2 linked regions of the Macaca mulatta genome follow. The protein of the gene in region 2 purifies or fractionates together with the protein of the main gene of each other region. This does not show direct contact. Links are inferred from orthologs where the notes say so. Each region holds a gene or a part of one and is shown on either strand. Other genes may lie near its edges.

Region 1 (14,983 bases), on a different chromosome or scaffold from region 2:
GGGCGTGGTGGCAGGTGCCTGTAATCCCAGCTACTAATGAGGCTGAGGCAGGAGAATCACTTGAACCCAGGAGGCGGAGGTTGCAGTGAGCCGAGATTGCGCCACTGCACTCCAGTCTGGGTGACAGAGCAAGACTCCTCTCCAAAAAAAAAAGAAGTGTTCATTTCAAAGGTTTTGACGATTGCAGTATATCTTTCCTCCCCTCATGCCACCTAGGCATCTCCAAGTATATTTTCTTACAATAGTAGGACACTATTTGGGTGGGGTGCCAGAATACTGAGTGCTTCTTAGGGCACTAGAAAATGAAGTATGGTAGATATGTGTATTGGCTTTTTTGGGGAGACAGACAGAGTTTGGCTCTTGTTACCTAGGCTGGAGTGCAATGGCCCAATCTCAGCTCACTGCAACCTCTGTCTCCCGGGTTCAAGTGATTCTCCTGCCTCAGCCTCCCAAGTAGCTGGGAGTAGCCTCCCACCACCACGCCTGGCTAATTTTTGTATTTTTAGTAGAAACAGGGTTTCACCATGTTGGCCAGGCTGTTCTCGAACTCCTGACCTCAGGTGAGCCACCCAGCTCGGCCTCCCAAAGTGCTGGGATTACAGGCATGAGCTACTGCGTCTGGCCATATTGGCTGTTAATCTTTTAATCTTACTGCATCTACCTTAACTGAGTCCAGAGTTTCACAACCTTGCACTCTGACAGTTTGCCCTGGATAATTCTTAGTCCTGTGTATTGGAGGATATTTTCCTGTATCCCTGGCCTCTACCAGCCAGATGGCAGCCTTACCTGCCCAGTTGTGGCAGTCACAAATGTGGCAATCAATTATTGTCAAATATTCCCTGAGTCTCAGAGGCTGCTGTTATATTCTGAACCAGCAGTGACTACCCCACAGCGTAGTGCAGCCTGGGCATGTTAACAAGCCCTCAAAAGGGGTGTGTGAATGATTGGAAGGATGTCCTTCCCACTGACAAAGTATTCAGCACATTTTTCGGTTGGCTTGGCAGGTAGGTTAGAGGATTCAACATGCTCAGTAAAGACACTGAAGAATTAACTGAGGGCCTAGAAGAAACATTGCCCAAGGACAGATGACAGGTTGTAGCCATAAAACCTTATGTACGTGGCGAGTGACTTAAGGGATAGCCAGGTTTAAATCTTGACTGTGCCTAACTTCTATCAGGAGCTAACCTGTCAGTCAAACCCTTGAATAAGATGTAACTCCATGTCCTTTGGGATTTCCGTAGTCTGGTGGCTTAAAGCAAGTCAGGGATGGGCCTTGAGAATCTTTCTGCTGTGGTTATGGTCAACCTGGAATTGACCATCCATGGTCAATTCTGGAACCTCAACTGTCAGAGTGAGAGAGGATTCCTGCATTTCAGCTAAAGAGAATGTCCGTGAGAGATGCAGTGGAGGAAGAGAGAGATGCAGTTACATAAGGGAGGGAGGATAGGCCATCAAACCATCCTGACCCATCTGTTAGATTTATAGATGGCCTCTGAAAAATATGAGTATGTCGTGGATTGGGGTTTGAGAGACTGTCTCTGTTGTTGCAGAGAACAATAGGAGTAGGAGTAGTATTTATTTCATGAGGATTGTAGGAATATTTGGGTGCAGATGGCAGTGCTCCTACAAATGACATATTTATACTGATCTTTCTTTTTGGAACTGATCTTTTGATTGATTGGTTTTATGCGTCCTACCTCTTCCAGAAAGAATTTGCAACAGATTGACAAGGATACATAACCATGTGAAACAAGATGAAAATAAAGACATCCATGTAAAAGGAAAGTGAAAGTAGAATAGCAAGTGGTCTGGGGAAAGGTTTTATACAGAAATCTGTACTATTTCAACCTTCAGAGTTAGGGAAGTTGGCTCTGAAAGCAGAATGGGAAACAGAGTACCTTAGAAGATCTCATACTTTCCGAAAAATAAAAAACCATTCTAGTTGATTAAAAGAAGTAGAGCTCTTCCTCACACTGATGTCTGAAGGGAATTTCTCCAGGAAGCTTTAGTGGACAGTGGACAATTAAGCTGAAGATGATTCTAAAACACAGTTCAGTTAGAGCAGCTTCCTAAGGCTTGGGGCAAAACCAATTGATCTTAAATTCAGAGCTGATGGTGGTTTGGGTCTTGAAAAATTTTCATGTCGGGCTCTGCTAGAGAGCATCTTTTCAATGATGTGTTTTCACTTAAGAGTTTAGTAAGTGAAGGGCATTTTGGATTGCGCTGTTGTGACCTCCAGCTCACCTTCCACTAGGGATGCAGCTTATGGGTAGAATATGAATCTTCAGATGGCAAAATAGCTTTTATAGCTAGTAACCTCAGAACAGAAGCAAAGAGAGTACACTGAAAGACTCTGCTGTGCTTTCACTGGCACATTAGTAATTTCCATCCTTCTACAAAGGGGATGCTAATTTTTCTCTTAAAAAGTCGTTGCTTTATAAATGAAAAACAGTGACCAGTGACAGATTCAGGAATAAGTAGGTTAATTTGATAGGGCAGCTTCTCAGGTGCTGACCCTTTAAAAAAATTTGCCCTTTTTTTTTGCTACAGGTGATTGATTATGTACTCCAAATTTCTGGGACAAATGAAATTTCCTATAGCCTCATTTTGTCTCCATAAACCATCAGGATTCCTAGAAATTTAGATATTTTGGTATCTAAATAACTCCATACAATTTTGAGCCTGGAATCTTATCAGATTGTATACTCCAGTTCTTTATTTGGCAGAGAGCCAGCTGTGATCACTGCAGAGCAGTAAGCCCTCTGCCCTGCTGGCTGTTTCAGGAGAACAAATCAGGAGAGAGAAAAACGACCATTTTGAGGTTGCCCTTACAGTGGGGAGACAGGCTAGCTAATCAACAATAACAGTATATTTTTTGGTGATGTGGCAGGAAAAAAAGGCATTGAAGGCACTTATGCAGGCTAGAAGCTCTGCTAAGGCACTGCCCCCGTGCCCTCCTCTTAGAAGGGCCCAGTTCAACACCTCATCTGCACCTGGAAGAGGTGGGGACAGTGCCCCATATCTGGCAGGTGGCCCTGGAAGCACCGGAGTTCTTCACTGCAGGAAGCCCTCCTTCTGGACCCACCCTGGGCTCTTGTCGACCAGCTTGGCTGGATTCTCCTCTCTGGGGAAGTAGGAGGGCCAGCAACAAGTGATAACCATCGAGAACTCCCCCTGAAGTCAGAATAGTCAGCTTGTCTCTTCTCCTCCTTGGCTTCTTAAAACCCACAGCTTACTGAATGAAAATCCTTGGAGTAATTAAGCTCATGTCTTTTTCTGGGTAATACTGATCTTAAAAAGACAGACATAGGCCAGGCACAGTGACTCACGCCTGTAATCCCAGCACTTCGGGAGGCTGAGGCAGGCGGATCACGAGGTCAGGAGATCAAGACCATCCTGGCTAACACAGTGAAACCCCTTCTCTACTGAGAATACAAAAAATTAGCCGGGTGTGGTGGCGGGCACCTGTAGTCCCAGCTACTCTGGAGGCTGAGGCAGGAGAGTGGTGTGAACCAGGGAGGCAGAGCTTGCAGTGAGCCGAGATCGCGCCACTGCACTCCAGCCTGGGCAACAGAGTGAGACTCCGTCTCAAAAAAAAAAAAATAAATAAAAAAGACAGACATAATCCTTATTTAAAGGAGTTTGATGTCAGGGAGCATAGTCCAAGATCAGGGGTGCTAGCTTGTACCTGGGTGTGGTGTGTGTTCCCCAGATATCCTCTCTGGAGCACAGGCTCACCTAACTGGGGGCTGAGGCCTGTGCATCCATAACTGAGCCACCTTTACAAATAAGCACCCATGTGGTCATCCCCTCTACCTGCTGCTGAGTGCTTCTGGCTCTAACCTGCCTTCCAGCCCCTCCTCCTTGCCTGCCCTCACTTACCCAAATGCTTTCTGTTCCTACACATATCTTGGCTGATGCTGTTCCCTCTAGATTCTCACTTTCCGCCTGTTGAAATCCTACCCTTTATTCCTTACCAGCCCAGCTCTTCCAAGATGACATACTCCATATGGCAGTATTTTTCAAACTTGAGTCATTCACATTCATTGTCTTTCCCGTTCTCAAGTCCTGCTTGTATAATTTTTGACTTAATATTTTTATTTAAAGAATCTGTGTTTTTTTTTTTTTTGAGATGGAGTCTCGCCCTGTCACCGAGGCTGGAGTGCAATGGGGTGGTTTCGGCTCACTGCAACCTCTGCCTCCTGGGTTCAAGCGATTCTCCTGCCTCAGCCTCCCGAGTAGCTGGGATTATAGGCACACACCACCACACCCGGCTAATTTTTTGTATCTTTAATAGAGATGGGGTATCACCATGTTGGCCAGGCTGGTCTCAAACTCCTGACCTCGTGATCTGCCCGCTTCGGCCTCCCAAAGTGCTGGGATTACAGGTGTGAGCCACTGCACCAGGCCAAGAATCTCATTCTTTAAACATATAATTAAGCACATTTAAAACGGGACACGGTAGCACGTCCCATATAGTCCCAGCTACTCGGGAGGCTGAAGTGGCTCACTTGAGCCCAGCCTGGGTGATACAGCAAAACTCTCTCTCTTTAAAAAATAAAATAAAATAGGCCGGGCATGGTGGCTCACGCCTGTAATTCCAGCACTTTGGGAGGCCGAAGTGGGTGGTCATGAGGTCAGGAGTTCAAGACCAGCCTGGCCAAGATGGTGAAACCCCGTCTCTACTAAAAATAAAAAAAATTAGCTGGGCGCAGCGGCAGGCACCTGTATCCCAGGTACTCAGGAGGCTGAGGCAGGAGAATCGCTTGAACTCAGAGGGCGGAGGTTGCAGTGAGCCAAGATAGTGCCACTGCACTTCAGCCTGGGCAACAGAGTGAGATTCCATCTCAATAAATAAAATAAAATAAACTCTTTATTTATTTTTCATTTATTATTATTTTGAGACAGAGTCTCACCTTGTCACCCAGGCTGGAGTGCAATGGCATGGTCTTGGCTCCCTGCAACCTCCGCGTCCCGGGTTCAAGCAATTCTTCTGCCTCAGCCTCCCGAGTAGCTGGGATTACAGGCATGTGCCATCATACCTGGCTAATTTTTGTATTTTCAGTAGAGACGGGGTTTCACTATGTTGGCCAGGCTGGTCTCGAACTCCTGACCTTGTGATCCACCCACCTCAGCCTCCCAAAGTGTTGGTATTACAGGCATGAGCCACTGGGCCCAGCCTATTAGTGATGTTTTTTGAGAAGGAGTTTCATTCACTCTGCCTCACAGGCTGGAGTGCAGTGGCGTGATCTTGGCTCACTGCAACTTCCGCCTCCCGGGTTCAAGCAGTTCTCCTGCCTCAGTTTCCCAAGTGCACCACCACGTCTGGCTAAGTTTTTTGTATTTTTAGTAGAGACGGGATTTTGCCATGTTGGTCAGGCTAGTCTCAAAATCCTGACCTCAGGTGATCCGCCCGCCTCAGCCTCCCGAAGTGCTGGGATTACAGGCGTGAGCCACCATGCTTGGCCTCAATTTATTTTTTTATTAAAAAAATTCCCCCTGAAAAAACCATCTGCAAGTATAAAACTCATTTTAGACTTGAACACCACCCAATAAGAACAGTAGCGCACAGTATACATAAAAGCTGGTGACAGGAATAAATCCAATCAAAACCAAAGCAATGCTACTCAATCCTAGATCAGTACCATTACGTTGGGGGAAGGTTCTGGCCTTGGGGCAGAATTTATGTTCCTGGTATTGTCATGGCTATCAGTACCGCCTTCAGACTTTGTCCTGGAGGGAATCAGAAGAGATAAAAAGAATGCTTTTCTTTCTGGGTGATTGAGTGTTACTTACTTCTTTGACCATTAGGAGGCCATCTGGTTCTTTGGAGTATTGGTTTCTACCTTCTCTAGCCAAAGAATTTCTGTTCATCTCTCGATTCACTTCCGCTGGGCCTCTCTCAAGGTGCCAACTAGATTTTAACTTTGCGAAAAGGGCGTGAACATAGATTGAATCTGTTCGCCCACTGCGTTGTCCACTAGGTGTAGGGGAGCTTGAGCATAGGAGCCGGGTCTTGTTTGCCTCATTGGCCCCCAGAGGTGTTGACTTGTATCTCAGATGTGAGCCGGCGCTCAGTAAAGGAGGCCGGTGCTCGTGGAGATGGAAGACGCAGCAGAAGTGGCCTCAGCGTTAGGTGAGACTGTACTCCTCCAGCGCGGTGTGCGTGGCACGTCGAATTGGTTCGGCTTTCCTGGCTTTCGTAGGTTTTACCCAGAACTTGCTGGCGTCAAGACCCTGCAGGCGAACCTGAGTGAAATCGCGGTTTTTGTTTGTTTTTTCTTCATGCATTGGCTAGTTGTAGGTAAAGCTCCACCATCCACGACGGCGGGCAGCCAGTCTCCCCCGGAAACGCCGGTGCTCACCCGCTCTTCCGCCCAAACTCCCGCGGCTGGCGCCACAGCTACCACCAGCACGTCCTCCACGGTCACCGTCACGGCCCCGGCCCCCGCCACCACAGGAAGCCCGGTGAAAAAGCAGAGGCCGCTTTTACCGAAGGAGACTGCCCCGGCCGTGCAGCGGGTCGTGTGGAACTCATCAAGTAAGTTTCAAACGTCCTCCCAAAAGTGGCACATGCAGAAGATGCAGCGTCAGCAGCAGCAGCAGCAGCAGCAAAACCAGCAGCAGCAGCCTCAGTCTTCCCAGGGGACGAGATATCAGACCAGACAGGCTGTGAAAGGTACCGAGCCTCCCCTTCTGTTCTCCGTGGCGCCCGCTCCCATTTTGCCACATCGACAGGAGAAAGTCATTGCTCTCTTGTTTTTTTTTTTTTTTTTTTTTTAGTTCTCGTTTGTTTCCTGGCCATTGTATCTTGAAGGCCTTGCACATTTCATTTGGCATTATTTTTAAAAAGTGTTTTGCTACTTGCTTTTTTACTTTCGAAAAGTTTTTTTGTTCATTTTATAAATTATACATGCATATATTCTCCTTAAAAGGGGGGCAGAAAGTTTTACATAAAAGTTTATTGTCCCGTTTACCTTCCATTTCATTCTCTCCCTTCCACAGTGACCAGTATCAACCGTTGTAAAGGCTTTTCTATGCATGTATGCATGTATATGTATATATACATATCTGTATGTATATATGTGCGCGTCATGTATATGATGCCATAAAATTAGTCCTTTTCCCCCCCTTTTTTTTCTTTTTTAAAACGTAAAAATGGTACCATACTTGCTTTTTTTTTTTCCCCCACCCATTAGCATGTTTTGGAGGTCCATCCATGTCAGCACATACAGCCCTGCCTTGTTCTTTCGGACTGCTGCGTAGTATTCCATAGTTTATTTAAAGCATTCCCCTCCTGATGGGTATTTAGGTTGCTTTCAGTTTTTTTTCCACTGTGAGCAGTGCTGCAGTGAATATCTTTGTATAAATTTCCTTGTACACATGAGGGAACCTCTTGGAATTATTTTGGAAAAAGTACAGTGCGAGAAGTTGATAGCGAAGGTTACCTTAGTAACTGGAAATTCGTCACGCACAAAAGATGAGCCAGCCTCGAGAACCACTTGCTGAAGTTGCAGAATCAGAACTCCCACCAGCCCTACAGGAGGCTCCATCTGGAGCTGAAATTAGGCCAAACACAGTGCTGATCTGACTGGTTGATACCAGTTTGTCTGGCTTTTGTGAGCATTGATGTAGATCTCTTTCTATCAGGAAACCTGCATCTAGATCCTCAAAGGCTGGGTTCTTCAACGGAAGCTCATAGTGAGTGCGCCCCTGTGAGTGGGGTTCGTGAGCAGCAGGACGTGAGGTTGAAAGGTGGCCAGGTCTTGAATTGGCCCCCAGTGAAACACTTCAAAGATGGCAAGGGAGTGGGTCCTGAAAAATTGGCCAGGCAAAATTGAGAGTACAGTTGGAGTAATCTTGCTGTTTAAAAAGTTGGTGGGGCAAAGCCAAGTCTAGGATATTTGAGATTGGGATTGCTGCTTCCTGTCTTCTGTCTTCATATCTCGTAAGCAGGAGGCTTCCCCAGGGGAGTTTAATTGCTACCAAGAAGAGGGTTGGGCGCGGTGGCTCATGTCTCTAATCCCAGCACTTTGGGAGGCCAAGACAGGCAGATCACTTGAGGCCAGGAGTTCAAGACCAGCCCGGCCAACATGGTGAAACCCCATCTCTACTAAAATGGAAAAGAAAACATAAAACTAGCTGGGCACATGCCTGTAACTCCAGCTACTCAGGAGGCTGAGGTGTGAGAATCCCTTGAATCTTGGAGGTGGAGGTCGCGGTGAGCTAAGATTGCGCCATTGCATTCCAGTCTGGGCAACAGAGTGAGACTGTCTCAAAAAAAAAAAAAAAAAAAACCAGAGAAACAAACAGACAAAAAAAACCAAAAAAGAGTGCTGCCAAAAAGAGGCTCATTGCTTCAGATAGTCTTACACCAAAGTAGGGCCTAGTTAAAAGGGTAAAGACAGATTTAAATCGGTAATACACTACTGTAATGGGGCAAGAGTCTAACATAAACTGAAATTAACTTTGATTTGTACAGAGGTGACTGGGCATTTTAAAGGGAGAATGAGGGAGTAGGGATGGGAGCAAGTCGTTGAAGTTAAACATCACAGAAGCAAGATGAGGGGTTGGTCTTTGTGAAACCCATCTCGATTTGCTAACGGGCACTTCATGAAGTTGGGCCCCTACTCTCCCATAGAGACTGGGATGCTGAAGTCCTGTCTTCAGGTGTTGGTTGGAAGAAAACTGTCAGTTCTTTTGCCAGCATTGAGTTTTCCCAGGCAGGTGCTTTAAGTGGGGGTTGGGGTCATCCTAGCATGCACTCTTGAGCTCTTAGAAACTGTCAGTGTTTGCTCAAGTCTTTCCAGGCCAAGGTTAGGGCCTAGTCGAGAAACCTGGATAGAGTTTGGTCAAGGGGAGCATCTTTGTCATTTAAAAGTAGAAAAGTTCTCAGGACGTATATTAGGGGCTTTGCTTCTACACCACAGCTCTATGCTGGGACGGGTCCTTCCCACGTGGGATAATCAGGATGCTTTGCCTTCCTAGCTGTCCAGCAGAAGGAGATCACACAGAGCCCGTCCACGGCCACCATCACCCTGGTGACCAGCACACAGTCATCGCCCCTGGTCACCAGCTCGGGGTCCACGAGCACCCTTGTGTCCTCAGTGAACGCTGACCTGCCCATCGCCACCGCCTCAGCCGATGTCGCCGCTGATATTGCCAAGTACACTAGCAAAGTGAGTGGATGGGAGAGCTGCCGCAGAGACGGCAGGCATCTGGCAGGTTGCCAGAACCTTGGCCTTGCAAGGGGAAGCATGAGCGTCTTAACCTCGTAGGCTTTAGGGAGTGTTTAGGAAGGAAGACCCTTTTTATTTTTTAAACAGAATCTCCAAGACCACATTCTTTCATTTGGGTCTAACAGAGAAACATTGGAATGGACTGAATCTTAATCCAAGTGGGCTTAGATTCTAAAGTCAGTTTATGAAGTGCAAATGACATATAATCAGAATTACCTTCGAGAATTCAAGTCACTTATAAAGGCACTGGAACACATGACTGATCCTTCAGTGAACAACTGACCAGGGGTTGGGTTTGCATTTAGAGCTTTGCATGTGGAGCAGAAGTGACAGAGTCTTAAACATGACACTGGCAAGGTGAAAGCCCACACTTTAATTTTTCCAGGAATCAAGATGGATGAGGAGGGGGACCGAGGGGACCCCCTCTCCCTCTTCTCCTGCCCTCTGGGGCACAGTCCCTATTAAGTGGCCTGGTGGGCAGGATTGCCTGTTGTGGGCAAACTCATGGTCACTGTCTCAGCACAGGCCCCTTCTTTTTTTCTCTTAATTTGCCAAGTGCTTTTTTTTTTTTTTTTTTTTTTGAGATGGAGTCTCACTCTGTTGCCCAGGCTGGAGTGCAGTGGCACGATCTTGTCTCACTGCAACCTCCGCCTCCTGGGTTCAAGCAATTCTCCTGCCTCAGCCTCCCAAGTAGCTGGGACTACAGGCATGTGCCACCATGCCTGGCTAATCTTTGTATTTTTAAAGTACAGATGGGGTTTCGCCATATTGACCAGGCTGGTCTCAAACTCCTGACCTCGGGTGATCCACCCACCTCGGCCTCTCAAAGTGCTGGGATTACAAGTGTGAGCCACCACGGCCGGCCTGCCAAGTGCTTTTATGGTCATTGTTGAATTCAGGTAGATACCATCTGCGGTTCTCAGCGTCATGTGAGAGTGCCCTGGACTGATGTACTGTGTACCTTGTCATTAGACCACATTAGTAATAATAACCATCAGAATGTCAGCTCCGCAAAGGCAGGGATTTTGGTCTGTTTTGCTTACTGCCAAGGCCTAGAACAGTGCCTGGCATGCAGTAAGTGCTTAACACATAATTGGGCTTTCTTTTTATTGGCCTCAGTTATTATCAATAACTTAACAATAGCTATTGATTTATAATCTACTGAGATTATTTAGTAAATTACTAAGTAGGTAATAATTTACTCTTTACTGATGAGTAGATTATTAATACTGATGAGTAAACAGTTCTAGTTTTCAGAGAGAATGGATGAAAATAATTGAGGATGGTTGTTTCTAGAATTCTTTCTCTTTTAAAAATGCAAACAGGGTCTCATTTTGTTGCCCAGGCTGGTCTCAAACTCCTGGTCTCAAACTCCTGATCTTCCTGCCTAGGCCTCCCAAAGCATTGGGATTACAGGTGTGAGCCACCACACCCAGCCTATTTCTAAAATTCTTATAGTCTTACTGATAAAGAATAAGCTTTATTATATTGAGTTAAGGGAAGAGGAATCTTTTTAAATTCTCAATGGTGAGAGAAATATATACGAATTTTTTTTTTTACCCAAATGAGTTTTCATTGGTCATGTTTCTTTTTGTTGCTTCTGTGTAGGTGTAATTGTTATCTATTGCTACAGAACAAATTTCCACAAAACTTAGCAACTTTAAACAGCACACACCTTTATTATCCTACAGTGTTTGTGGGTCAGGAATCTGGGCCCGGCTCCACAGGGCTCTCCGCTTCAGGATCTCTTGCAGTTGCAGTCGTGGTGTCTGCAAGGGTTTGGGACTCACACAAAGGCTCAACTGGGATCCACTCTCCAGGTCATTTAGGTGGTGACTGGCAAGATTCACTTCCTTGAGGGCTGGTGGTCTGGGCCACCCTCAGTTCCCTGCCATGTGGGCCTCCCCAGCATGGCAACTTGCTTCATCGAAACCAGCAATGGAGACTGGGCACTATGGCTCACACCTATAATCCCAGCACTTTGGGAGGCCGAGGTGGGTGGATTGCATGAGCTCAGGAGTACAAGACCAGCGTGGGTAACATGGTGAAACCCCGTCTCTACTAAAATACAAAAAATCAGCCTGGCATGATGGTGTGCGCCTATGGTCCCAGCTACTCAGGAGGCTGGTACACAAGACTTGCTTGAACCTGGGAGGTGGAGATTGCAGTGAGCCGAGATTGTGCCACTGCACTCCTGCCTGGGCGACAAAGCGAAACTCTGTCTCAAAAGCCAGCAATGGAGAGAGCCTGCTGGCAAGACAGAAGTCACAGGCTTACTTAGGCCAATCACAGAAGTGACACCCCATTACCTTTGCTGTATTCCATTGATTAGAAGCAAGTTGCTAGGTCAGAGGGAGGGGATTACAGATGGGCACAAAATAGTACTAGGTTGGGATCATCGGCAGCCTTCCCACCACATAAGGTAGCAATATGTCTGCATAGTATTTACTCTGGGCTAGATGCTGTCCTAAGCACTTTTTTATGTTACTTACTCAGTCTTCTTGACAAATTGATGAAGTGTAGGTACTGTTATCACCCCAATTTTATAGATGAGAAAACTGAAGCCCAGTGAAGCTACACAGTGTGTCTAGGGTCACAGACTAGTGAATGGCCAAGCTGGACTTTGAATGATAGCAGCCAGGCCCTAGACAGCGTGCACTTAACCTGGCTTTGAGTTGCTTTGTGCATTTCAAACAAGCCTGCTGATCACAAATGTTCATGCCACAAACTGTTGCCACACGACTTTTATAAGCAACTGCTCTTAGGATTCAGTGTGGCTGTTTGAGCCAGTGGCTGTAACCACAGCACTTTGGAAGGCTCAAGTGGGAGGATCGTTTGAGGCCAGGAGTTTAAGACCAACCTGAGCAAGACATGGAGATCATGTCATGTCTTTACAAATAAAAAAAATTAGCTGGGCATGGTGGCATGTGCCAGTAGTCTCAGCTATTAGGGAGGCTGAGATGGGAGGATTACTTGAGCCCAGAAGTTTGAAGCTGCAGTGAGCTCCGATTGCACCATTGCACTCCAGCCTAGGTGGACAGAGCGGGACTGTGTCTCAAAAAAAAAAAAAAAAAGAAAAATAAAAGGCCTGGTGCAGTGGCTCACGCCTGGAATCCTAGCACTTTGGAAGGCCCAAGCGGGTGGATCACCTAAGGTCAGGAGTTCAAGACTAGCCTGGCCAACATGGTGAAACCCCATCTCTACTAAAAAATACAAAAATTGGCCTGGCGTGGTGGCAGGCACCTATAAACCCAGCTACTCAGGAGGCTGAAGCAGGAGAATTGCTTGAACCCAAGGGGTGGAGGTTGCAGTGAGCCGAGATTGCGCCACTTCACTCCAGCCTGGGCAACAGAGCGAGACTCTGTCTCAAAACAAAACAAAACAAAACACGGGGGAGGTTGTCACGAAAGTGTTCAAGGCCTAACAGTACCAAACTGAGACTTCTTGCTAAAGCGATCTGTAGGATTCTGTAGGATTATTAGAGAATTGAAAGGGGGTAATTTTCTCGTTAGTGATTTAAGTAGGTGTCTGGTTTTGCCTGAATGATCTCTTGTTCTACCTTACGTTGTCCTTACATCACCTTCCTTTGATTTGGTCCCAGCTGTTGCTCATGAATGGGAAAGCTGAGGTCTGCTGAGTGGATCTGATTAGTGGTTTGCAGGAAGGCTGTTTTCTCAGCTCCTGCAACCATTTTAATTGTTACCTTCTGCATCCCCTTTGTTCTTTAAAAAATTGTTAAAAAAAATTTTTTTTTAAGAGATGGCGTCTTACCCGGCTAATTTTGTATTTTTAGTAGAGATGAGGTTTCACCATGTTGGCCGGGCTGATCTTGAACTCCTGACCTCAGGTGATTCACCTGCCTTGGCCTCCCAAAAGTGCTGGGATTATAGGCATGAGCCACCGTGCCTGTCCAGGAATGATTTTTTTGATAGGTGTTTTCTTTGAAGTTAAAAAAAATGAACACAGTGACATTTTTTGGGAGCCGATAAACTTTTCCTGTCTCTGAGGTGACCTGGAGTGGAAGACGCAGTTCTGTGTGTTTTGGCAGAGTGGTGTTCTTTACTGATGTTGAAGTCTTTGCTATATTTGGAAGTTTAGAGTAAAAGGCAGTCCACGAATGCATGATATCTTTGAAATGGAATGTGACCATTGCATTAGCGATGTATTGAATTTCGCCCACTTTCTAAAGTTTTCTTGTAAAGCCATTTAGTTGTAATTTTTAAAATGGACACGGTGGGTGCAACAGAGCAAGGAGGCAAGTGCAGGAGGCTGCAAAGCTGTGGAAAGTGCACAGTGTTTTCGCTGATAGTGGCCTGGTGTGGACTCCACAGCAAGCTGAGCGTGGAAATCTCAACAGAGGTTTTATTCATTTTACTCCATTTTGCGGCGAATTTGGGCCTACTATTTTGGGGCTTGGCAGCAATTACGCAATTGCATACTTGTATGAATATCTTTTTCTTTAAAAATAAGATGAATGGGTATTTCTTTATGAACACCTGCTCCATGGCAGGTAACGAGACACAGTCCTTGCGTGGTTTTTTTCATTTAATCCTCGTGCACACCCTACCGGGGGGCATGCAGTTCCTGTTTTTTTGTGGGGAAACCGAGGCTTAGAGGCCATGGATAGTGAGGCATCAGATACGAGGCTGCTCTTTGTCCCGCCTTCTCCCTGAATTGGGGCATCTAGAAGGCGCTGGAGAGGCTTCATACCAGTCAAGCCGGGCCTGAGACAGAGCCTGATCTCTTGTCCCCTCCTCTTTCTGCTGTGATGGGGGAAGGGTCAGCTGGCAGGTGGGAGGTAGAAGAGAAATTCATCCTACGAACATAGTCAGAAAATCCCTGGGTGCCTGCTTCATGGACCTTAGCTGATGTCACCAACTGGCTGATGCCTTCAAGGGTCAGATAGTTAAAGAAAAAGAATATGGGAAATGAACTGCAAAGACAATGTCTTGACTGAAGGCATTAAAATGACAAACCAGCCATATCTATAAAATGGACTATAAAAAGGAATGAAGTTCCGCTGCCTGCTGCAGCACGGATGCGTGAATCACAGAGGACCTTGAGTTGTGTGATTCCATTTATATGAAATGTGCAGCCTGAGCAAATGTGGAGAGGCAGAAGGCAGATCAGTGGTTGTCAGTGTCTGGGGGAGGGGGGATGGGATACCGGGAAGTGAAGACTAAGGCTGGGGGAAATGGGATTTTCTTTCTTTTTTTTGTTTTTGAGACGGAGTCTCACTCTTTCGCCCAGGCTGCAGTGCAGTGGCCGGATCTCAGCTCACTGCAAGCTCCGCCTCCCGGGTTTACGCCATTCTCCTGCCTCAGCCTCCCGAGTAGCTGGGACTGCAGGCACCCGCCACCTCGCCCGGCTAGTTTTTTGTATTTTTTAGTAGAGACGGGTTTTCACCGTGTTAGCCAGGATGGTCTCTATCTCCTGACCTGGTGATCTGCCCGTCTCGGCCTCCCAAAGTGCTGGGATTACAGGCTTGAGCCACTGCGCCTGGCCTGGAGTGGGATTTTCTTTACGGGATAATGAAAATGTTGTGAAATGATTGTGGTGATAGATACACAACTCTGAGGTACTAAAAGCCATTGAATTGTATACTTTAAATGAATGAATGGTGTAGTATATGCATATACCTCAGTAAAACGGTGCTGGTTTTTTAAGGGGAAATAATGAAAACTAAAACAGTAATCCCTCTCTTGAACCTACCGTGCTGGCCAAATAAAAGACATCTGGGGGTT
Region 2 (15,083 bases):
TAACGAGCCCCTTGTCCTTGTGTTCACGTGCATGCAGGAGCAGGCTGCACTTGTTGAAGAAGACCAGGCGGCGGGCGCAGTGGTTGCAGGTGACCTCGATGCGCATGCTCCGGCGGTCATAGTGCCGTGCCAGGCTCTTCTCCAACGAGAAGGCATCCCCACACTCCAGGCAGCGGTAGCCGGTGGGAGGCAGGGCCAGCCCAGCCTCAGCTGGTGGGCTCAGGTTTGGCCTATAGGCAGGGAGCAGGTTCTTGCTGTTGAGGATCTTGTTGAAGGCCTCCACCAGGCTGGACTGGGTCCGTGAGATCACTGTGCCGCCCCCTGTACTCGGCCCAGTAGTTGTCTTTGAAGGCTGCACCATCACCACTGAGGCACCATTCACCTTCTGTCCCCCAGTCCCCAGCCCTGCCCGCCCCTCAGCCTTAGGCAGGGCTTGGGGCACCAGGCCTAGCACATTCTTAGCAATCATCTTAGGGCTGGTGGCAGTCCCCCCAGGCAGCACCACAGCCTTGCGGGCCACACTGGCTGCCATCAGCATGGCAGTACTGGCATTCTGGATGGTGGCCACAGGCAGCACAGTGCCTTTCAGCCTTGTACCATCACCCAACTGTACGCTCACCACCTTTGGACCCTCAGAAGTAGGTGTTGCAGGGGACAGCTTCAAGAGGCTAGCTTCAGCCAAGAACGCCCCCTCAGCCAAGGGGGCAGGTGGATCAGGATCTGAAGGGACCTGAGTTACAGTCCTTGTGATATTCCCGCAGGATGTTTTAATGGTCTTGATCCGCACCTTAAGAGGCCTAGAGGAGCTGGAGGCAGGGGAGTCATTGCTGTCCTCATCTGCAGCCTCAGCCCCACTAGAGGGACTCTGGGGACTTCCTGGGGAAGACTTGTCCACTGGCCCCTCATCTTCTTCTTCTTTCAAGGGCTGACAGACGGGCAGTTTGGGGGAGGCAAGAGGGCTCTGGTGCCCTGGAGACTGCTTGAAGAAGGGCACCCCAGCAACTCGGGGAGGCGAGGCACTGGCAGGGATGTCCGTGGCCTCAGGGCTGGAGCCTGAGCCTTGTGCGGCTAGGCCCTGGGGTTGATGGGGGCTGCAGCTCTCCTGCTTCAAGGCCCCCAACGGTGGGGAAGAAACAGGTGGCTGCACGCCTGGGCCATTCTCCTGGGCCAGCTCAAAGGAAGAGGGGAAAGGAGGTGGGGTCATAGCCCCCTCCTGAGGGGGAGAGGGTGCAGAGGGAGGCAGGGGATCCGGGTGGTCCCCTGGCTCAGGGCCAAAATGAGCAAACAGGTCCAAGGGAGTTTTGCCTTCCATGCCTTTTTCTTTCCAGGTGCCCCCACTGGGAGGAGCAGGAGAGTGGGGGGTTTCTGGGAGGGAAGGTTCAGGACCCCCAAAACCATTCTGCATTCGATGAGGCCCCACAGGCCCTTCCTTAGTTACCCCAGCAGCCCGGGTCCCATCCCCTGCTGAGCCTCCAGCCAGGGCCTCAGACTGCTCAGGACACACAGTGTTCTTGACAATGACACTAACTACAGAAATGTCTGACGGTGGCAGGCCATGGTCAGAGGCCTGGGCTGGAACTCCAGGGCCATCCCCAGCTGAGGCTGCTGCTGTGTCTCGAGATTCACTTCCCACACCTGGTTCTGGCTTCCCTGGGCCTCCTGGCCCCTCATTTTCTTCTGGCCCAGAATGGATGGCTTCATTTGCATCAATGTCAGGGATGTCAAAGGCAGCAAGGAGGTCATCAAAATCAGGGGTCTTCATGTCCCCCATATCGGCAGGTCCCAGACCTGATGAAAACAGGAATAAGGAGAAACTGAGATGTCTGGAGATCCTGGAGCTCTTTCCTCAGCATCTCCATATTTATCCTCTCTCAGAACCCATATGCACTCCAACTTAGGTACACCTCCACCACAGCATGAATCCTACAGAGCTGCTAGGTTTGCCAAACCCTAAAATCAGAAGGTTAGTGTCCATACCCTGGCAGGCTCCAAAATCCAGAGAAAGCAGGAGAAAAGAGAGTTCTCAGAAATACAGGGAAGGGGCCAGGTGCGGTGGCTCATGCTTGTAGTCCCAGTGTTTTGGGAGACTGAGGCAGGTGGATCACTTGAGGTCAGGAGTTTGAGACCAGCCTGGCCAACATAGTGAAACCCTGTCTCTACTAAAAATACAAAAAACTAGACAGGTGTGGTGGCGCATGCCTGTAATAGCAACTACTCAGGAGGCTGAGGCAGAAGAATCACTTGAACCCATGAGGTTGAGGTTGCAGTGAGCCAAGATCATGCCACTGCACTCCAACCTGGACAGAGTAAGACCCTGTCTCAAAAAGAAATACAGGGGGCCAGGCACAGTGGCTGACACCTGTAATCCCAGCACTTTGGGAGGCAGAGGCGGGCGGATCACGAGGTCAGGAGATCAAGACCATCCTGGCCAAGATGGTGAAACCCCGGGGCTACTAAAAATACAAAAAGTAGCTGGGCGTGGCAGCACTCACCTATAGTCCCAGCTACTCGGGAGGCTGAGGCAAAAGAATTGCTTGAACTCGGGAAGCGGAGCTTGCAGTGAGCCGAGATTGTGCCACTGTACTCCAGCCTGGGTGACAGAGCAAGACTCCATCTCAGGAAAAAACACACAAAAAAAGAAGAAGAAATACAGGAACAGGGGAGCTCAGTGAGCATCCTGGTGGAAACCAGCTCATCCCCTCCTGTGCCCAGCACAGAACCAAATAATCGATACTATCATTAAGGAGGATGATGTATATGATGCTCTAGGTTTAAGGGCTCATTCATGTCCACATGGAATCAATTCATATTCTTCATGGATCTTCTGGGGTCCACAGAGATCTGAAAGGCTATGTGTACAAAGGGGCAAGGCCGTAAGCCAAGACTTAAGAAATGATCCTCGTTCAGCTTTATCAGGGGCCTGCAGTACAAGCAAGTTTCTTCAGTGCCTTACTTTTGCTGTTTGAAAGAGGACACAAATGGCCGGGTGTGGTGGCTCACATCTGTAATCCCAGCACTTTGGGAGGTCAATCACTTGGGCCCAGGAGTTCAAGACCACCCTGGGCAACATGGTGAAACTCCCCAGGCATGATGGCACATGCCTGTATTCCCAGCTATGCCTCCCAGCTGACATGGGAGGATCCCCTGAGCCCAGGAGGTCGAGGCTGTGATGGGCCATGATCACGCCACGCACTCCAGCCTGGGTGACAGAGTGAGACCCTGTCTCAAAAAAAAAAAGAAGAAAAAGAAAAGACAAGACAGAGAGCACAAGTGATCTATATATCATAGGGTTATTCTGAGCACAATACGAAATTGCTAATGTAAGAATCACACCGAGAATACGATTCACTATTCCAGATGAACCAAGCAAGGACATGTCAGGTCAAGGAAGAGCTGGAAAGGAATAACCCCTGGAACTCTAGGGCTGGGGTCGGAGGCAAGAGTCAGGGGTCATGCAGGATCAAGTCTAGGGCACCTGGGGCCATCACTGGCACCTGGAGATCTAGCTTGGTCAGCAGGGAGAAAAGGACTCAAGGAAATTACCCAAGAGACCAAGATGGAAAAAATAAGACACAGGAACAGAAAGAGACAAAGAGAAGAGACAGAGGGGAAAATGGTGATGGCAGCCTGGTCACAAGGGCCCCAGCCTAGGCCTCTCCTGTCACAAACACCTGCTGCTCGCTCACTACCTTCCCCAGAGTGCCTGGCCCTCCCCTAGCCAGCCCCTCCTTCACCACCCCTCCGCAGCTTGCTCTCTTGAGGCTAAAACTCCCAGGGTACACACTTATCCAGCACAGCTGCCACAGTGGGGAAAAGCCAGGCTCCTTCACCCCTCACCTATCATTTCTGCTCCGAGCTCCTCACCCCATTCCATTCCCTAACTTAAACTCCTCACCCTTTCCATTTTCCTGTGGCAACAGTAGCCCAGGAAGTTTCACCTAACCTCAACCTAGCCAAGTGCAAAAAATAAAATTTAAAATCCCACAAGAATTATGTGGTACTAATCGAACATGCAGGCCAGCTCAGAGTTTGTGGGAGACCCATGTCTGTCCCCTGCCAGTGCCTCCCCATGACTGTTTCTGTATCTACGAAGAAGCAACTAAAGAATCTATCCCTATCCATTCCATGCCCAGGTTGCAGGCCATTTCTCGAAGCCAGTTCTCCCACTTCTCTCCAGCCTTCATACTGTAACTAGAGACAGCCGCAGCATGTGGCAGCTGGAATTCCTGGGACCAAGGTGGGGTGGGGGCAAAGGATACCAACCAGACAAAGGGGGAGTCCTTCCCTCACTCCCACCCTATTTAATTCTGCAGACTCTGGGTTTAAACAAAACCCCTTGTCTCTATGGGCCTGGCTCCTAAGCCTGGCTCCCTCCTGATCAGAGGCCTGAGCTACCTTCCATTCAGGTACTCAGAAGTGGACTGGTACAGGGAAGACCAGCAAAGACTAGAAAACACCTGTGAACTCACCCGCACACCCCCCGCCGCCAGCCACCTCCCTCTTGGGAGTTCCAGTGACTTAGAGGTCATCCGATGGCCACCCACTCAGAGCAGTCGACCAAGCAAGTCGCCGAGCTCAAGGCCAAGGAAGATCAGGCCTTCCTGCGACTGCTGAGCCCTGTCTCTAGGGCTCCTATCTCCCCTGCCCCCTTTCCCTCTGTGCTTCCCCAAAAGCCAAAGAGGCTGAACAGGAAAAGGCTGAACAGACCCAGGTCGAGTGGGGGCTTCACTGCCCTTTGCCCGGGCCCAAGGCCTGCAGCGCAGAGGAGGGCGAGGGGCTGGCGGCGATTAGGTTGCGGCCAAGCTGGGCAGCGGGCGGAATTAAGTCCCTGCCATCTGCCGAGGGCCGGCGCGGGGAACAAGTCCTGGGTTGCGAGGAGGGGGCGGGGTGTACACAAGAGAAACTACAAGGGAAACTGAGGCGCGCGGCGCTTCTCTCACTCGCACCGGCGTGCGAAGCGAAGGCCGGGCCTCAGTCAGGCCAGGCCCTTTGGTACCTGCTGCGCAGCACCTGGGGACCCAGGACTACACAGGATGGGGTGGGGAGCTGGGAAAGAGGGGAGGAGAGAAGGGGCGGTCTCTGCGCGACTCTCAGCTCTCTAGCCGGGGTCCGTTCCAACTCGGACCTCGTCCCCTCGCCTCCGGGCGCAGCGGAACCTCCTTCCGCCGCGGACTCCCGGAGGCTCGCTAGAGACTGGAGACTGATCGGAGGGTGCACATGGGGCCAGGGGCGCAAGCCTGATTCTTGCCCGGGCCCGGACGCTGACCCGCGCCCAGTCGGGGTGCAGGCTCCGCTCCGGCCTGGCCCAGTCCCCCCGCCCCCATCCCCGGGAACGGACACCATTTTAGGTCGCGACATCCCGCAGCCTCCAATCTCCGGGCCGCACTTCGGGTGCCTCTCGAGCTGGGGGCGCCAGGACTTGGGGTTCTCGACCCTCCTGGGGGTTTACCCGGCTAGGGGCTGTGCTTTCAACAGGCCGGGAGTTTTGCCCATCCGCCCCAATGGATGGAGGCGGTGTCTGGGCCCTCCTAGAAGCCGCCCCAGGGGGCGGCGCGGAGAAGGGGGTAGTTGACCAAGTGGGGGAGGGGCGGGGGTATTTACCCGCCCCCCCAAGTGGGCGGAGCCAAGGGCGGGTATTTACCCCAGGCACGCTTACTTGTTCCGCTCCTGGTGCGGGCCGAGACCCGGCGGTCTCTACCCCACTCCAGCCGCTGCCGCCACCGCCGCCCTCCCCGCGGCCGCCGCTACTTCCTGCTTCTCTCCGGTTCAGCCTCCCCCCTCCCTCTCCTCCCTCCGCGCTCCGGGTCTGGGCTGCCCGCTTTCGCACTCGCCATTGGCCCTTGCCCCCTTCGCTCAGCCCTGCGCCCCTCCCAGCCCCGCACTGGGTTGGTCCTAAGTACTGCCGCTCGGAACTAGCCCCGCACAGTCCTCTTATGCTCATTGGGCAAGGGGCCGAGGCCCTCTGAAGATACCTCTCCCCATTGGCTGCGCAAGGGTCCGTCTGCCCCATCTGCAAGTCACGGAAACGATTGGCCTCCGCCACTGTCGCTTAGAAAGAAGCCAGCCTGCTTCCCGGCTTTCCTACTAGAGAGGGGAGCGCCCAGGTGCGTCTCCGCCCCTCGCTCCCTATTGGCCGCTCGAAGCTTGAAGCTGCAGTTCACTTTCGCGAATCGAAGGAATCCAGCTTCTGTGTGGTGGGCGCTTTGAGCAGAACCGCACTGAGTCGGAGTGCAGGACGGAAGTGTAGGTCCTTTTGCGCTGTTTCAAGCTAATTCCGTGTCACTGATGCCGGGCAGAAGTCACAGAATGGGACGCCACCCCAAACATTACGTCATCCGCTGACCATTTCCTCGCTGTCTTCCCACCGTCTAAATCGCCATATAATCTGATGGATGGGATCCTCGCACGGGCCAGCTCCTGGGCCACAGCGTAACCCGTCGCTCCTCCCTCTGCGGGAGGGCGTGGACGGGGTACGGGATTCCGAACGTGGAAGGAATCGGGACCTAAAGGTTGGGAAGTGCTCGCGGACCGGAAGCGGGGGAGGGGACGTTAGGAGTGCTGGCGTGGCCTGGGCCATTTCCAAAGAGGCCTTAAAGGGGCAACTGATAGGCTTCCTAAGTATGGGCTGGAGGTACCCCCCAGCTCCATTTCCCATTTAAGAGCTCCCCTTTTCCCCGCCCCCAGCAAGGAGTAGGGGGTGGGGTCAAGGTCGAGTTTTCCCGCGCTTTGTTGCCACGCCCCCTGCAGGCGGGGGAAAGGGAGGAGTCGCTCGGAAAATGAATCTCTTAAATGTTCTAATAGCACTGGCAGAATTCGTCTGCAAGCCCAGCGTGCCACCTCGCGCACGCAGCCGCTCGTTAACTGCATGGTGTTTTTTTTTTTTAATTAGTTTTTTTGAGGCAGTCTCACTCTGTTGCCCGGGTGGGAGCACAGTAGTGCGATCACGGCTGACTGCAGCCTCAACCTCCCAGGCCCCAGTGATCCTCCCCCCTCAGCCTCCTGAGTAGCTGGGACTACAAGAGACAGCCAACACGCCCGGCTAGTTTAATTTTTTGTAGAGACAGGGTTTTGCCATGTTGCCCAGGCTGGTCTCAAGAGATCCTTCAGACGTGAGCCACTGCTCCCTACCTTGGCGAAGTTTTTTTTTTTTTAAACAGGCCCTCATTCTGTAGTCCAGACTGGAGTGCAGTGGCGGGACCTCGGCTCACTGCAACCTCCACCTCCCAGGCTCAAGCGATTCTCCAGCCTCAGCCTCCCGACTAGCTGGGATTACAGGTGTGCAACACTACCCGCCCGGCTTTTTTTTTTTTTTTTTTTGAGACGGAGTCTCGGCCCTGTCACCCAAGCTGGAGTGCAGTGGTGCGATCTCGGCTCACTGCAAGCTGCGCCTCCCGCGTTCACGCCATTCTCCTGCCTCAGCCTCCCGAGTAGCTGGGACTACAGGCGCCGGCCACTACGCTCGGCTAATTTTTTGTATTTTTAGTAGAGACGGGGTTTCACCATGTTAGCCAGGATGGTCTCGATCTCCTGACCTCGTGCTCTGCCCTCCTCGGCCCCCCAAAGTGCTGGGATTACAGGTGTGAGCCACCGTGGCCGGCCATTTTTGTATTTTTAGTAGAGACGGGGTTTCACCATATTGGCCAGGCTGGTCTCGAACTTCTGACCTCAAATGATCCACCCGCCTCAGCCTCCCAAAGTGCTGGGATTACAGGTGTGACCCACCGCGCCCGGCAGGGTTTTTGAAAGTGGTTTTGTTACGCTGCCCAGGAGTCCCAGGACACTGGAACCAGGACTCCCCATCGAGCCCCGGCAGTTTCCGAGCTCCTTTGAAGTATGAGTCAGAACTTATGGATGGGAATCCTGGAGCCACCACTTGCCCTATGATGGCAATGGGCAAGTCGCTCAACCTCCCAGATCCTGTTTTCTCATGGGTAAAACGGGGATTATAATACCACCTGACAATATTATTTTTGTGAGGATTAAATGATTTTAGAATGTAAACGTGCTTTGTAAAGTAATTGGCAGTTGGGATTAGTGTGCCCTTTCTCCCGGAGACTTGCATCCTGTGTGCTCGGTCCGCCTGCATTTGCTCCCAGTCGCTCCAGCTCAGATGCTCTTCCTTCTCTGAGGACTATTTAAGGGTCCCTATGTAAGCAACCGGCATTCCGTTTCCACCTCCTCTTCTGGTCTTCCTATACGGAATAACAGTTACTACTCATATACACATAATATTATGGGGGACTCACACCTGTAATCCCAGCACTTTGAGAAGTCTAGGTGGGTAGCTCGCTTGAGCCCTGGAGTTCGAGACCAGCCTGTGCAACATAGCAGGACTCTGCCTCTACAAAATATTTGGGAAAAAAAAATTAGCCAGGGGTGTTGGCAGGCGACTGTGATCCCAGCTCCTGGGGAGGCTGGGATGGAAGGATCGCTTGAGCCTAGGAAGTCAAAGCTGCAGTGAGCTGGGATCGCACCACTGCACTCCAGCCTGGGAGACAGAGCAAGACCCTGTCTCAAAACACACACACACACACACACACACAAATAAAAACGTTATGTATATCATTAATAACTCATGCAATCCTTAGCACAACCATGGAAGGAGGTACTATTCCAGGTACTGGGGGTGCAGCAGTTAACAAAGCAGACAAGAAGCCCTGTCATGAAACACACATTCTTAAAGAGAAGACAAACAATAAATATTAGAACTGATAGCTGCCAAGGAATAAAATAGAGCTATCAAGCCATGCAAAGACAGAGGAATCTGCAGTGCACGTGAATAAATGAAGAAGCCAATCTGAAAAGGCTGCATGCCTTATGATTCCAACTATGTGACATTCTAGAAAAGGCAAAACTAGAGAGAGTAAAAAGATCAGTGGTTGGTTGCCGAGGGTTCAGGTGGAGGGAGGGAGATGAATAAATGGAGCACAGGGGACTCTAAGGACACTGAAACTATTCTGTATGATACTGTAATAGTGGATACATGGCATTATTCATTTGTCAAAAGCCATGGAATGTACAACACAAAGACTGAACCCTGTGAGCGTGGTGGCTCACACATGTAATCCCTGAACTTTGGGAGGCCAAAGCGGGAGGATCAACAAAAAAATTAGAAAAATTAGCGGAGTACAGTGGCGCACACCTGTAGTCCCAAGTACTCAAGAGGCTGAAGCGGGAGAGTTCCTTGAGCCCAGCAGTTTGAGGCTGCAGTGAGCTATGATCCTGCTGCCGCACTCCAGCCTGGGCAACAAAGTGAGACCCTGTCTCTTAATAATAAAGAATCCATATTGGTTCATCAATTGTAACAAATGTACCACACTAATGCAAGATATTAATGAATAATAGAGTAACCTGAACAACATGAAGAGACCCCATCTCTACAAAAAAACTTTTTTTAAGTGTGGCATGGTGGTGCACGCCTGTGGTCCCAGCTATTTGGGAGGCTGAGGAGGGAGAATCACCTGAGCCCTGGAGGTCAAAGTTGCAGTGAGGTATAGTCACACCGCTGCACTCCAGCCTGGGCAAAAGACCAAGACCTTGTCTCAGTAACAACGGGAAACTGGAGAGAGGATATGTGGGAACTCCCATTTTGTGCTCAGTTTTTCTGTAAACCTAAAAATGCTGTAAAAAATAAAGTGTTGGCCGGACGCGGTGGCTCAAGCCTGTAATCCCAGCACTTTGGGAGGCCGAGACAGGCGGATCACGAGGTCAGGAGATGGAGACCATCCTGGCTAACACGGTGAAACCCCGTCTCTACTAAAAAATACAAAAAACTAGCCGGGCGCAGTGGCGGGCGCCTGTAGTCCCAGGTACTCGGGAGGCTGAGGCAGGAGAATGGCGTGAACCCGGGAGGCGGAGCTTGCAGTGAGCTGAGATCCGGCCACTGCACTCCAGCCTGCGCGGCAGAGCGAGACTCCGTCTCAAAAAAAAAAATAAAATAAAGTGTTAATTTAAAAACAAAAACAATCAAAAAACAAAGCAGGCGGCTAGGTGCGGTGGCTCACACCTGTAATCCCAGCACTTTGGGAGGCCGAGGCGGGTGAATCACGAGGTCAGGAGATCGAGACCATCCTGGCTAACACGGTGAAACCCTGTCTGTACTAAAAATACAAAAAATTAGCTGGGCATGGTGGCACACACCTATAGTCCCAGCTACTTGGGAGGCTGAGGCAAGAGAATCGCTTGAACCCGGGTGGCAGAAGTTGCAGTGAACCGAGATTGCGCCACTGCACTACAGCCTGGGCGCAGAGCAAGACTCCGTCAAAAAAAAAAAAAAAAAAAAAAGCAGGGAAGGATGACAGTAAGTGTGGGAGGGTTGCAATTTTAGATCAGGTGGACAATGAAGGCCTTTCCAAGAAGATGGTGGTTAAGTAAAGGTCTGAAGGAGATGAGGGAGTGAGCCATGCAGCTATCTGGGACAAGAACATTCCAGGAAGAAAGAACAAGTACAAGGTCCTCAGGTGGGGAGTGTGTTCCAGAGTGGGTGGGAGGAGCGAGTTGGGTCATGGGATGCTTTGGAAGCTATGGGAAGTTCTTTGGCATTTTCTCAGAGTGGGATAGGAAGCCATCAAAAGGAGACAGATGACGTGGTGGCCTGACTTACGTTTTAAAAGGGTTGAAAGTGCGGTGTGAGAGAAAGAAAAGACTCCAGAGCTTGGAGGCTGAGGAAGTAGAAGCATGATATTGCCCCATTTCTTGAGCTGAGAAGACTACAGGAGAAGCAGGTTTTAGGGGTTAGGTCGGTAGCTCAGTTTTAGTCATGTTGAGGTATTACACATCCAAGTGGAGATACAAATGTAGGTGTCATCAGCTTATAGATAGTGTTTAAAACCCAGGTCAGAATGGATGAGATCACCAAGGGAGGACTGAGGCACGGGAAACTCCAAAGTTAAAAGGTCAAGGAGATGAGAAGAACAGCAAAGAGGAAGGAGGGAACCAGGAGAATGTTGTAACCTTCAAGCTAAATTTAAAAAGTATCTCAAGAAAGAGGAAGAGAGAATGATAGATGCCACTAAAATATCAAATAGGATGAAACCTGAGAATTGACCAATGGATTTAAGCAAAATGGAGGTCACCGGTGATCATGATAAGGAGAGATTTGATGGACTGGTGGGGACAAAAGCCTGCATGGAATGGGTTCAAAAGAATGGAGGAGGAAAAAAGAAAAGTCACTATAAAACTCTTTCAAAGGAAGGAAGGAGAAAAAAGATGGTAACTAGAGGAAAAAAAGCGACCAAGAAAGGACTGTTTCTTTTAATAGTTATCTCTTTTTCTCATCAGGTTCTACTGACCCAAGGAAAGGACTATTTATTTGAAGATGAAGAAGTTGTATGTTAGTACACGGGTGGGGAGGATCCTGTAGACAGGAGAAACTGAAGTAGCAGAGCGATAAGGAAAGTTCCTGGAACCATGTTCTTCAGAAGGTGAGCGAGAGGGTCAAGTTCACAAACAGAGGCATTGCCTTACACAGCGGCAGGAACAGTTCCCGAATAATAATTGGGAGAGAAGGCAGAGTGAGCGGGCATGGGTCGAGGGAGCTGGGGAGCTGTGGGATATCTCTTTGTTGTTTCTGTTGTCCAGTGGTATAAGAAAGAGCATGTGTTGTCAAACTCTATAAGAATAAAAAATCAAGATCACCCTCTAAGAGTGAGGATGATGAAGAAACTAGGAGTTTGAGGAGAAAAAAGGTAGGAAATACGCATTCAGGAGAGAGGAATGGACTAGAAGGGGAGATCAAGAGACTGAGAGGCCAGTGGCCTGGAAGACTCATTTACCTGGATATTTAAATCAACAGGAATGGGCCGGGTGCAGTGGCTCACACCTGTAATCCCAGCACTTTGGGAGGCCGAGGCAGGCGAATCACCTGAGGTCAGGAGTTCGAGACTAGCCTGACCAACATGAAGAAACTCTGTCTCTACTAAAAATACAAAAATTAGCCAGGCATAGTGGTGCATGCCTGTAATCCCAGCTACTCGGGAGGCTGAGGTAGGAGAATCACTTGAACCTGGGAGGCGGAGGTTGTGGTGAGCCGAGATTGTGCCATTGCACTCCAGCCTGGGCAACAAGAGTGACACTCCGACTCAAAAAAAAAAAAATTCTTGAACTTCATATATATAGAGAGTATGATTCCATTTATATATGTGTGTGTGTGTGTATATATATACACTATACATATATAGTATGATTCCATTTATATAAAGTTCAAGCCAGGCGTGGTGGCTCATACCTGTAATCCCAGCACTTTGGGAGGCTGAGACAGGTGGATCACAAGGTCAGGAGTTCAAGACTAGCCTGGCCAAGATGCTGAAGCCCCATCTCTACTAACAACACAAAAATTAGCCAGGCGTGGTGGTGTGCACCTGTAATCGCAGCTACTTGGGAGGCTGAGGCAGGAGAATCGCTTGAACCTGGGTGGCAGAGGTTGCAGTGAGCTGAGATCGTGCCACTGCACTCCAGCCTGGGCAACAGAGCAAGATTCCGTCTCAAAAAATAAAACAAAAATAAAAAATAAAGTTCAAGAACAGGCAAAGTAAATCAATGGTGATAGTAGCAGAATTGTGGTAACCATTGCCTGGGAAAGGGTAAGAGGAATATATATATACACACACACACACACACACACACACACTCACACACATTTTTTTTTTTTTTTAAACAAGGTCTTGCTCTGTCACCCAGGCTGGAGTGCAGTGGGGCAATCACGGCTCACTGCAGCCTCAACCTCCTGGGCTCAAGTGATCCACCCACCTCAGCCTCCCAAGTAGCTGGGGGTGCAGATGTGAGGCACTGTGCCGGCTAGTAGGAGGAATCTTTGGAGATGCACACATAGACCACCAGATTAATGGTGCGCACCTTCTGTTAATAGTACCCACCACCTTTCCTTGTTGCAGCCGTCTTCTGTCTCACCCTACTCTGTCCTATACTACTCCTATCCCCATTCTTGATTGTTATTATTATTATTTTTTTTTTTTTTTTTTTTGAGACGGAGTCTCGCTCTGTCGCCCAGGCTGGAGTGCAGTGGCGCGATCTCGGCTCACTGCAAGCTCCGCCTCCCAGGCTCACGCCATTCTCCTGCCTCAGCCTCCCGAGTAGCTGGGACTACAGGCGCCACCACCACACCCAGCTAATTTTTTGTATTTTTAGTAGAGACGGGGTTTCACCGTGTTAGCCAGGATGGTCTTGATCTCCTGACCTCGTGATCCGCCTGCCTCGGCCTCCCAAAGTGCTGGGATTACAGGCGTGAGCCACCGCATCCGGCCGATTGTTATTATTATTATTATTAGTCTTCACAAACCTTCTGTCTTTGCTTAAAATATATTGTTTCATTTTTCACATCTTTGCCATGGAGGGCAGTAATAAGTAATTGAGAACTACACACGAAGGGATGGAGAGAACCCTGGAGAAATGTTAGGATGAGCAGCAGAAGTCACCTACCTGTCCTTGACTTGCAGCAGGTAGCAGACCAAGCAGTACCCAGCACAACTTTGCACAAAATTTCGCTGGGCACTGAGGAATGCCTCAGTGGTGTAACTGCCATGCTCCTGTAGAAAGTAATCGAGCAAGGAGAGCTGTGACTGTTTCTTATTATTAGTCTCGCTCTCACCCAGGTTGGAGTGCAATGGCACAGTCTCAGCTCACTGCAACCTCCACCTCTCGGGTTCCAGCGATTCTCCTGCTTCAGCCTCCAGAGTAGCTGGGATTACAGGCGCCCACTGCCATGCCTGGCTAATTTTTTGTGTGTGTTTTTAGTAGAGGCGGAGTTTACCATACTGGCCAGGCTGGTCTCGAACTCCTGACCTCGTGATCTGCCTACCTTGGCCACCCAAAATACCGGGATTACAGGCGTGAGCCACCATGCCTGGCTTTTTCTTTTTTGAGAGAGGGTCTCACTCTCTCCAGGCTGGAGTGAGTGAGACCAGGCTGGAGTGCCCTGGTGCAGTCTTGGCTTACTGCAGCCTTGAGCTCCTGGGCTCATGTGATCCTCCCATGTCAGCCTCCCGAATAGCTGGGATTACAGGCATGCACCACCATGCCCAGCTAATTTTTTTATTTTTGGTAGAGATGGGGTCCCACTATGTTGCCCAGGTTGCTCTCGATCTCCTGGGTTCAAGTGATCCTCCCACAACAGCCTCCCAAAGTGCTAGAATTACAGGTGTGAGCCACCACATCTACCCTATTTTTATATTTATTTATTTATTTATTTTGAGATGGAGTTTCACTCTTGTTGCCCAGGCTGGAGTACAGTGGTGCGATCTCGGCTCACTGCAACCTCAGCTTCCCAGGTTCAAGCGATTCTCCTGCTTCAGCCTCCCAAGTAGCTGGGACTACAGGTGTGCGCCATCACGCCCGGCTAATTTTGTATTTTTGGTAGAGATGGGGTTTCACTGTGTTGGTCAGGTTGGTCTGACCTCAGGTGATCCACCCACCTTGGCCTCCCAAAGTGCTGGGAATACAGGCATGAGACACCACACCCAGCCCACCTGGCCTATTTATTAAATTTATTTAACAAACAGGGTCTTGCTCTATCACCCAGGCTGGAGTTCAGTGGTGTCATCATAGCTCACTGTAACCTTGAACTCCTGGACTCAAGCAATTCTCCCGCTCAGCCTTCTGAGTAGCTGGGACTATAGGTGTGTGTGACCACATCTGGCTAATTAAAATATATATGTGTATATATATAGTTTGTAGAGACAAGGTCTCCTTATATTGCCCAGGCTGTCTCAAACTCCTGGGCTCAAGCTATCCTCCTGCCTCAGCCTCCCAAAGCACTAGGATTACAGGCATGAGCCACTGTGCCCAGCCCATACTCTTTCATTTTCTAGGACAAAGACTACAAACTGTGGACCTATGGGTTGAGCCTAGACTGCATACATATATTTTTTTAATTTGAAGATCATCCCTTCCCAGCATTATAGTAAATGGAACAACACTGAAATCCTAGTTGGTACCAGTGTGCCTTAATATGCTAGATAAAATATTTTAAATATCTTTGCTTCAGATTTTAAAAAATATTTCAATATGCTGAAAAATTTTAAGCACATAAAAGTAAACAGAAAAGTATGAGCCTCCAGGTAATCATCAGC

The links.
Region 1: the proteins of ZNF687 (region 2) and ZMYND8 purify together in Homo sapiens (affinity purification with mass spectrometry; 4 studies listed by BioGRID and IntAct, with this or other methods). This does not show direct contact. The link is inferred for Macaca mulatta from reciprocal best matches to the Homo sapiens genes ZNF687 and ZMYND8.

Annotation. Positions count from the first base shown.
Region 1 is NC_133415.1:100,035,336-100,050,318, reverse strand, and holds part of ZMYND8 (MYND-type zinc finger-containing chromatin reader ZMYND8), read left to right. Parts: intron 1-6,298; coding exon 6,299-6,679; intron 6,680-8,988; coding exon 8,989-9,179; intron 9,180-14,983. UniProt on the Homo sapiens protein: Chromatin reader that recognizes dual histone modifications such as histone H3.1 dimethylated at 'Lys-36' and histone H4 acetylated at 'Lys-16' (H3.1K36me2-H4K16ac) and histone H3 methylated at 'Lys-4' and histone H4 acetylated at 'Lys-14' (H3K4me1-H3K14ac).
Region 2 is NC_133406.1:115,794,761-115,809,843, forward strand, and holds the start of ZNF687 (zinc finger protein 687), read right to left. Parts: upstream 6,537-15,083; 5' UTR 5,983-6,536; coding exon 5,973-5,982; exon of another isoform or gene 5,642-5,972; intron 2,850-5,641; exon of another isoform or gene 1,978-2,849; intron 1,789-1,977; coding exon 1-1,788. UniProt on the Homo sapiens protein: May be involved in transcriptional regulation.